Linked DNA regions of Oryzias latipes. The protein of the gene in region 2 interacts with the protein of the main gene of each other region in a pairwise test. Links are inferred from orthologs where the notes say so. Each region holds a gene or a part of one and is shown on either strand. Other genes may lie near its edges. The genes, in order: pfdn4 and vbp1.

Region 1 (4,622 bases), on a different chromosome or scaffold from region 2:
GTTATCTGAAACCAGCTGCGTGATCGAAAGGCAAAAACAGACAGAAAGCTCTGCCAAAACCACGGAGGATTTCCTCTGATGCTGTAAGAGAGGGAAAAAATAAGATGAAGCGCTTTTGCAGATGATAAAACAACCGAAAAGTTCTGCTAAACAGGTACAACTAGTTAGTTTCTAAGATCAGCTGAAACTACGGCTGTTTTCACTATGTAGAGGATATTTCAAATGGCTGAGAAAACAATACTGTAAAACCAATAAAAACGTTACAGTTTTGTTAAAAACGAATCATTTAAAGCAGGTCTTCACAATGGGAGACCTGTAAGGAAGCCATTTGTTAAACTCTGCTGCACAACCCTTTTGTTGACATAAAATGACTTCTGTTAATGACAACAAGTCTATTTTTCTTCTCTTTATGAACAAACGGCTGCAGTTTTTGAGAGGTACTTTCTGCACGTTGAAAAAGATTAAACCTTCTTCAAAAAAAGGTGTTTTTGGTGTTTTTAACGTTTTCTTCTGGCATTTTTCGGATGACGGAGGTTATAAAGAAAGTCACATTTCTGAACAGTTGTTGATTCAAATGGTTGTGAACCAGAAGAAGAAGAAGTCTTGATGAGCTGGCATCTGACTCAAAACTGTACGGCTGTAGGTTGGGGGCGTGAGGGGCTGTAAGCTACCAGGAGAGCAGGTAAACCGAAAGCTCTATACAACTATGAAAGGAAGGAGCCCCACCCACAACTCAAAAGCAAATTTCTAATGAATTCCTGCTGCTCTGCAGACACTATGTTCTACACTATGACACAGTTTTTTTTTTGGTTATTCTTATTTTAGCTAAAACTGCACGAACATAATTGAAAACCACATGGGAACACTGTTAAAATGGATCCAAAGATGATCAGAGTCAGTCTTTAAAATTGCACAACGTCGTAGTCTTCCTTGAGCATTTTTACCTGTTTGATTTGGGTCAATGTACAATTGAGAAGAGCCATTGCTTGGTTGTCTCGGTTTTTTTGTTTGTTACCATTTGTGTTATTTGCCTCTTCTGTTATAGAAGTGTCAGAAGAAGTGCTGTAGCCTTTAACTTTAACATGTTGGCCTTTGATTTTTTTTCTAATCTTTATATAAGAGCTGCACTGTGGTGTAGTGATTAGCACTGTTTTCTCCCAGCCCTGGTTTGAATCCCAGCTGGGTCCTTTCTGAGTTGGTGTGGTCTCCTTGTGCACACTGACTTCCTCCCACAGTTGACAAACATGCTTCATAGGTTAATTGTTACTCTGAATTGTCCCTGGATGGGAATGTGGGGTTGGTTAGCCCTGCAACAGACTAGTTACCTGTCCAGGGTGTACCCCCGCCTTCAACCAGTGGTGGCTGGGACAGGCTCAAGCAACCTCTGGTTCCCAAAGCAAGTTTAAAAGGCAGATGGGTGAATTTTCTATGTCAGAAAAAAAACAACTTCACCAATTTCTTTCTGTGCTTAATTTAATTTAATTTGTTTTAATTTGTTTTAATTTAATTTAATTTAATTTAATTTAATTTAATTTAATTTAATTTAATTTAATTTAATTTAATTTAATTTAATTTAATTTAATTTAATTTAATTTAATTCTGCATGGTCACATGTGCCACCATTAGATGGTGTATTACTGAGAAGCACTTTTAAAACAAAGAAATACTTTTCCAAACTCAAATCTTTTTTGTCTTGCTCATTTAAACACATTTATTTCGTGTCAAGCTCCTGTTGGCGTTAGAAGGCGTTCAGTGGGTTGTGTAGTAATAACCATCCAAGCCGCTAGGTGGCGGTGTCGCTTAACCTCTCTGTGCAGCAGCAGCGTCTGTTTCCCGTCGAAGAAGGCACGATGGCAGCAGCCACCATGAAGGCAACAGCAGTAAGTGCCTTTTTCAAACAAATATTCTGTTTTCTTCCTTTGATGATGCTTTTTTTTAATTTTAGTTATAGAAACTGTTCAAACAAGAGGTTCTGCTTTCAAAGTAAAAGAGTCACTTGCGTGTGCTAGTTTTGTTTTAAAGCGGCGGTTTAGAAACGTGCAGCGTTAGCTAGCTAACTCTAATGAATCAGAAATGTAACTGCTAGCTCTGACATTTACGACAATTATAAAATAGTAACAATTAAAGAGGTGGCACAACGACACACACATGATAGTTAACTTGTCAAGCTAACTCTATCTAAAGCTTTTGAGGTAGTCTCTGTAACGTGCAGTGTTTACTTTTTTCAGGGCGTTGAAGACATCGTGGTCACCTTTGAAGACCAGCAGAAGATCAACAAATTTGCCAGGAACACGAGCCGGATCAAGGAGCTAAAAAACGAAATCGAGGCAAACAAAGTAGGTAGAGGAGAAATCCTACAACTGTGTTGACCTACAGGTTGAACAAAATATAGAAAAGTAACTAGAATTTACCCTAAAAACTGCAGGTGGATAGACGAATTTAAAGTCACTGCCTTTATTTATTATCATTGAGTGATGCTTTATTATGAAAGAACTTTTCTCTCCAGAATCGTAATGTTATGTACAAATGTTGGCGAGGCATTTTGAAACACAGCTGGATAAGCACCAGTTGACGTGTTTTGTTGTTGCTTTCGCTCATCTTTAACAGCCGCTTGATGTCTCCTCTTAGAAAACTCTGCAGAACCTGCAGGACGCCAGTGATGACATCATGATGCTGGATGACGACACCATGCTCATCCCGTACCAGATCGGTGGCGTTTTTGTCAGCCACTCGCAGGAAGAAACGCAAAAGATGCTGGAGTCTGCAAAGGTCAGCCTGAAATGATTGACACTTTGTTTGACACAATTAGCAGTCAGACAGACGCAGATGTGCAGTTTAAAAAAAGAAGACAACTTTAACTTTTTTTTGTCTTTTTAAAGATTAGAGCAAAACAATAGATTTCTGTTTATTAGACTGCTGACCAAGCAGCAGAGAAACAAGGTGACTTACTCAGACTGGATTTCACTTCTATCACATTGAGGTCTGTGACTACTTTAGTCTTAAAAGGTCAATAAAATATTAAGCAATTTTGCAGAAGTTCCTTGCTTCAGATATACTTTAACTTTAACCTTCAGATATACTTTAACCAAAAAAGTGGATCCACCTGGATTAATTTTAAATCACAACAATGCTATATATATATATATATATATATATATATATATATATATATATATATATATATATATATATATATATATATATATATATATATATATATATATATATTTGGGGGATATATATATTTGGGGGATTGTTTTTACAGGTATTTTTGTGAGCAGCAAGCAGACGATATTCAAAACCTTTTAAGAAGACAATTTGATCTTGCACGCATTTACTGGGAAGATTTGTCGTTGATTTACATGATCCAAAAATGTTACAGTGTGAGAACGAGTGGCCGTTAAATTCCCTAGGTTTATAGACGGACTCGCAGAAGTTAATAGAGAACTGATTTCTTCTGGCAGAGGAAGTAGAGTAGAGCTGTTTTAAGAGCACACCTTCCAAAACAACCATTACCATCTGTAAAAAGTTGCTGTTTTACTCCTTTTGTCCAAATCAGTTTGCAATCTACGCCAAGATTGAAGATTGATTAAAAAACAAAAAAGAATAAAGCTCAGGTGTAGTTCACAAGGTGGCCACTAGGTGGCCCCCTTGCCCCCTCTACTTGAACTTCTCTACAGGAACAAACACATTTTTTTTTTATCCCAAAACCTGACAAGGATCCTAGACTTATAGACAACAGAAGACCTATCACCTTAAGAAATTCAGACTACAAATTATTACCGTACATTTTCGCTTCTCGTCTCAAGACCGGACTCTCAGGACTTATTGCGGAAACACAATCTGGTTCTCTGAAGGGCCGTTCAATTCATAATAATATAAGACTGGTTATGGACATCATTGAATACCGACACCTTATAAAAGATAATGGTTTTATTCTCTTTCTGGATTTTTACAAGGCCTTTGATTCAGTGGAGCATCCGTTTATAATGACAGCACTGGAAAATTTGGGTTTTGGTACTAAATTTAGAAACCTAATCTATGGTCTATATCAGAATATCAATAGCTGTGTTATCCTTCCTAATGGCACCACCCCAAGTTTCAAAGTTGATGTAGGGATCCCTCAAGGTTGTCCCATCTCTCCGTATCTGTTCTTATTAGCCACTGAAATGTTGGCAATTTATATTAAGAATTGTAGTGAAATCAAAAAGTTAAATGTCTTGGGCACAGAGATCATTATTAGCCAGCTAGCAGACGCCACAACACTGTTTTTAAAAGATGAGCATCAAATTAAAGCAGCTATTGAAAAAGTAAAACACTTTTCCAAAGCATCAGGGTTAAACTTACATTTAAAGAAATGTGAACTGTTGGCTATTCATGACACACCTTTAAAAGAAATCAATCATATCCCCATTAAATCAGAAGTTAAATACTTGGGCATCTATATCAACAAAGACCAAAAAATAAGGCAATCAAGGAATGTGGGTGAAAAACTTAATGAATGTAAGACGAGGTTGAATATGTGGCTCCAAAGAGATATTTCGCTGTTGGGTCGGATCTATCTGACAAAGATGGAGGGTTTGTCTATATCAGTGTTTTTCAACTAGTGTGCCGTGGGAAAT
Region 2 (3,825 bases):
TTGGACATCTCTAAAACTTCCCCTTTTCAGTGGATCCATAATGACGTTCCATAAATATTAAAATATTTTTACGTTTGTGCTGTTTAATATTTTAATTATGATGGACATTAAAACATTGTCATCTATTTATTTTGTTTCTTGACTGATTTCCTGAATTCATTGCTGACTTGACAAAAACTACTTATTTATCTTTCTCTTGAGGTTGAAAAATCAGATCCCACAAATCACACAGACGCTAGAAATTCTACGACACATGCAGAAGAAAAAGGTGAGACTTTCATTCATCCACCTTGTAATTTTGTCCTGGAACACAAGCTGAAGGGTGTTGTCATGTGGAGTTTGATTTGCAAAAGTAGTTAAGATGTGTATTTGCAGTTTTTTTTTTTGACAAAAAAAAAATTGCTTTTACAAGCTGTTTATGAAGTTTTAGAAAAAAAACATTTATATACACAAATACGTTAAAAAGTGAAAAAATTGATATTTCTGCTGGTATTGTGTAAAAGATCACTGGAATCTGTTTCAGACAAAGTTAAACTTGCATTTTGACCAATGACACACTAGTCTAAAGAAGCAGACTCGTAACAGTTTAAAATGGTCATAGCATACCAACCACACAACTTCACAATAGATTAGGTTTTAATAATTTGTGCTTTGCCTCCAGAAAACCACAGAACCCATGGAAACACATTTCCTACTGGCTGACAGCGTTTACTGCAAGGCCTCAGTGCCGCCCACTGACAAAGTCTGTTTATGGTTAGGTGTAAGTAGAACTCAGATCCACAGTTCTCAAGCTTTCATTTAGTCTCAATGTAAATGAGACAACCCTGGACATTAGGGCTGCACGATATGAAGAAAACTCGCGATATGCGATATTAGTAATTAATATTGCGATAACTTATATAACGATATAATTTGCGGTATATAAACAATTAGCAAAACAACCAAAAATATTATTCCCATTCCATTACAACAGCTTAAAAATTATAGTACAAACGACCCTTGTTGACGCAGGAGGCGAACATACAACATAATAGGGCGCCATCCGATTAGTTAACAACGTGAAGGGGTCCATCTGATTGGTCAAATGCAGAAAGGGATTCTTTCAATCCATTAAATACTTCTAGCTGGCATAAGATTGTTTGGCCACACCTAAGGTAACCATTTATTGCAAATTTGCTGTCTTTTGCGATATGCATATTGCACGGCTTGATATTGCGGTAACGATAAATTTGCGGTATATTGTGCAGGCCTACTGGACATAATTAAATGTCTTCTTTTTTTTTACTATTAATGCTAAGTGCAGCGATTTAATGCTTTTATTTCATTGAATGAGTATCCTTTTTTGCTTTCTCATTAGGCTAATGTCATGTTAGAGTACGACATTGATGAAGCCCAGGCTCTCCTAGAGAAGAACTTGTCCACAGCGTCTCGCAACCTAGAGACTCTGGAGGACGATCTGGATTTCCTGCGAGACCAGTTCACCACCACCGAAGTCAGTATCCTTCAGTGTTGTCTGCACAGATGACAAGAGTAGAGGTCATGGTCACACTGTTGCTAAAAAAAACTTGTGTTCTCATCTTATTGCTAACTGAATTTATTTCTAATATTTAAGTGAAAATGAAACGTGTCTCTTCTAATCCTTTATTATATATATTTAAGATCCCACTTTAAAATCTGATTAAAAAACATTTTTTTTTCCTCAGTCAGTAAATTGTCATGGTAAGATCTGAAATATCTAACAAATATCTAAATATCTAACAATATCTACAATACTTTAAACATAAGAGATGCACTGAAGGAACAACTTTCAGATATTTTTTTTTTTTCAGATAACTAAGAAAACTACACTGAAAATTAAAGCAAAACCTTTTAAGTTCAAACGAGAACATAAATAATAAACTAAAAAAAAAAGCTGCATTTCTAGACCAAAATGCAGGGTTCAATGCTATATTGCGGAATGAAATTTAAAGGGTAATAACTGGCAAAAGAAAAAATTTTAAAAGAAAAAAAGAAATTATCAAAGTTGACCATAAAGTAAAAACGGCACAATAACAAAAAATATATTATTGTGAAAAATATCAGCACCGGGAATCGAACCAGCAAGCTTTTGCACCAAGGATTTCCCATGTATTTCAATGGAGGCAAAAACCCTGGAATATTTTGAAAAGTTCTAGGATTTGAATGACCAAAGGTCATGGCTGGAAAAACCTGCAAGAGCTTTTGATTTTTTTTTTTTTTAAATTACCGGCCAAATTATAACATTTTACACATGAAATTGCATAAAAGTAATTTATAAATAGTATGAACACTTCTTGATTGAATTTGAGTTTACAGTTAGATGACAAACATGCTGAGGAAAATAAGGACAGATTTCCTATTTCTGCTTTCAGGTGATGGCATTTTAAAATTTAATTTAAAAAAAAACAGCCTGAAAATAGTATGTTTTTGATTATTGCCGTATTTTTACGACCATAAGACACATTTAAAAGTCTTAAATTTTCTCCAGAATGTAGGGGGCTCCCTATGAGGCGGTGCGCCTAATGTGTTTTTGTGGGGCGTAGAAGACGGCATGAGAACGGGGGAGGGAGGTGTGGGCGTCAACAATATTGTTACAAAATCCCGGAAATCCAATTTAAACTGCAAACTATTAGCTACACGGAGGAACATGGGAGCATCTGCAAGAGAATCAAGATGAATGAATGCATGGTTCACAAGTGGAGGAAGCTGGAAAATGAACTCTGACAGTAAAGATGACGCAGCTAAGTTTCCGCAGGAAAAAAAACATCTCGATTGACGATTAACGATTAGTGATCAGCTTGGAGAAGCTTCTCCGCACTCACCATACGACTGAGGGCAGTAACGCTTACAGAGGAAGCTTTTGCTTTTGTTTTATGAAACAACGTTATCTTTTCATCCGGGCGAGGATTACGGTGCCGCAGCGACATCCAGCGGATTATAATGAAAAGCTGTTCATCTTCCGCTCGTATTGCATTAAAAAGATCGACGACAGACACCCCCAGCCCAGCCACATCACCATCATGGACAAGGCGCCGCTGACTTTCGACATCCCGGTGAGTCACACTGTCGAGAAGGACGGGAGCAGCGCGGTAGGATACACATAACGGGGCACAGCTTTTATTGTTGTGGGAGGCAGTGCCATATTTTGTGAATGGATTGTAGAAGCTTGGTATAACGTGTTTGCTTGCACTGCTTTCGAAGTGGCTAAAAGCAGGCAATATTCATGAGGGGCCGCACGGCGACGAGACGGACTCCGACAATGACCAAAGGAAACCTAGCGTGTTTGATAGAAATTTAGTCCAGCTGTTCATTTCAGATACAGAAGATGAGGACTTTGATGGATTTTTGGATGGTGATTGATGACTGAAAAATAAATCACAACCATCTCAGTTTTGCTCCCGCTGCCTTTTTCTTTAACACACACTAGCATGCATGTTGTGCCGGTATGTGTTAACGTGCCCGCACCTTAAAACCCAGTGCGCCTTTTGTATGTGTTAAATACCAAAAAATCACTCTTAACGGAGACTGCGCCCTATAACCCAGTGGGTCCTATGGTCGTGAAAATACGGTATATCATTTTATCACCCAGGCCAATGATGAATACAGTCAGATGGTTTGTCTTATCATCTTCAAAATTTAAAGCATGTTTTTTAACATTTAAATTAAATATTTATGTAATTGTATATTTGGTAAAATACTTAATTAATACAAAAATGAATCCAGATTTTGTTCATGATTGTTATGCATTGTTTTATTTTATTCAAAGATTTTGTGGTTCTGTTATCTGTTGAAGGTAAAACCTAGCTT

Evidence for each region.
Region 1: the proteins of vbp1 (region 2) and pfdn4 interact in binary tests that used the Homo sapiens proteins (3 or more experiments, as listed by UniProt). The link is inferred for Oryzias latipes from reciprocal best matches to the Homo sapiens genes VBP1 and PFDN4.

What each region holds. Positions count from the first base shown.
Region 1 is NC_019865.2:24,677,492-24,682,113, reverse strand, and holds the start of pfdn4 (prefoldin subunit 4), read left to right. Parts: upstream 1-1,767; 5' UTR 1,768-1,850; coding exon 1,851-1,880; intron 1,881-2,228; coding exon 2,229-2,336; intron 2,337-2,628; coding exon 2,629-2,769; intron 2,770-4,622. UniProt on the Homo sapiens protein: Binds specifically to cytosolic chaperonin (c-CPN) and transfers target proteins to it. Binds to nascent polypeptide chain and promotes folding in an environment in which there are many competing pathways for nonnative proteins.
Region 2 is NC_019876.2:19,815,128-19,818,952, reverse strand, and holds part of vbp1 (prefoldin subunit 3), read left to right. Parts: intron 1-201; coding exon 202-268; intron 269-661; coding exon 662-760; intron 761-1,357; coding exon 1,358-1,496; intron 1,497-3,825. UniProt on the Homo sapiens protein: Binds specifically to cytosolic chaperonin (c-CPN) and transfers target proteins to it. Binds to nascent polypeptide chain and promotes folding in an environment in which there are many competing pathways for nonnative proteins.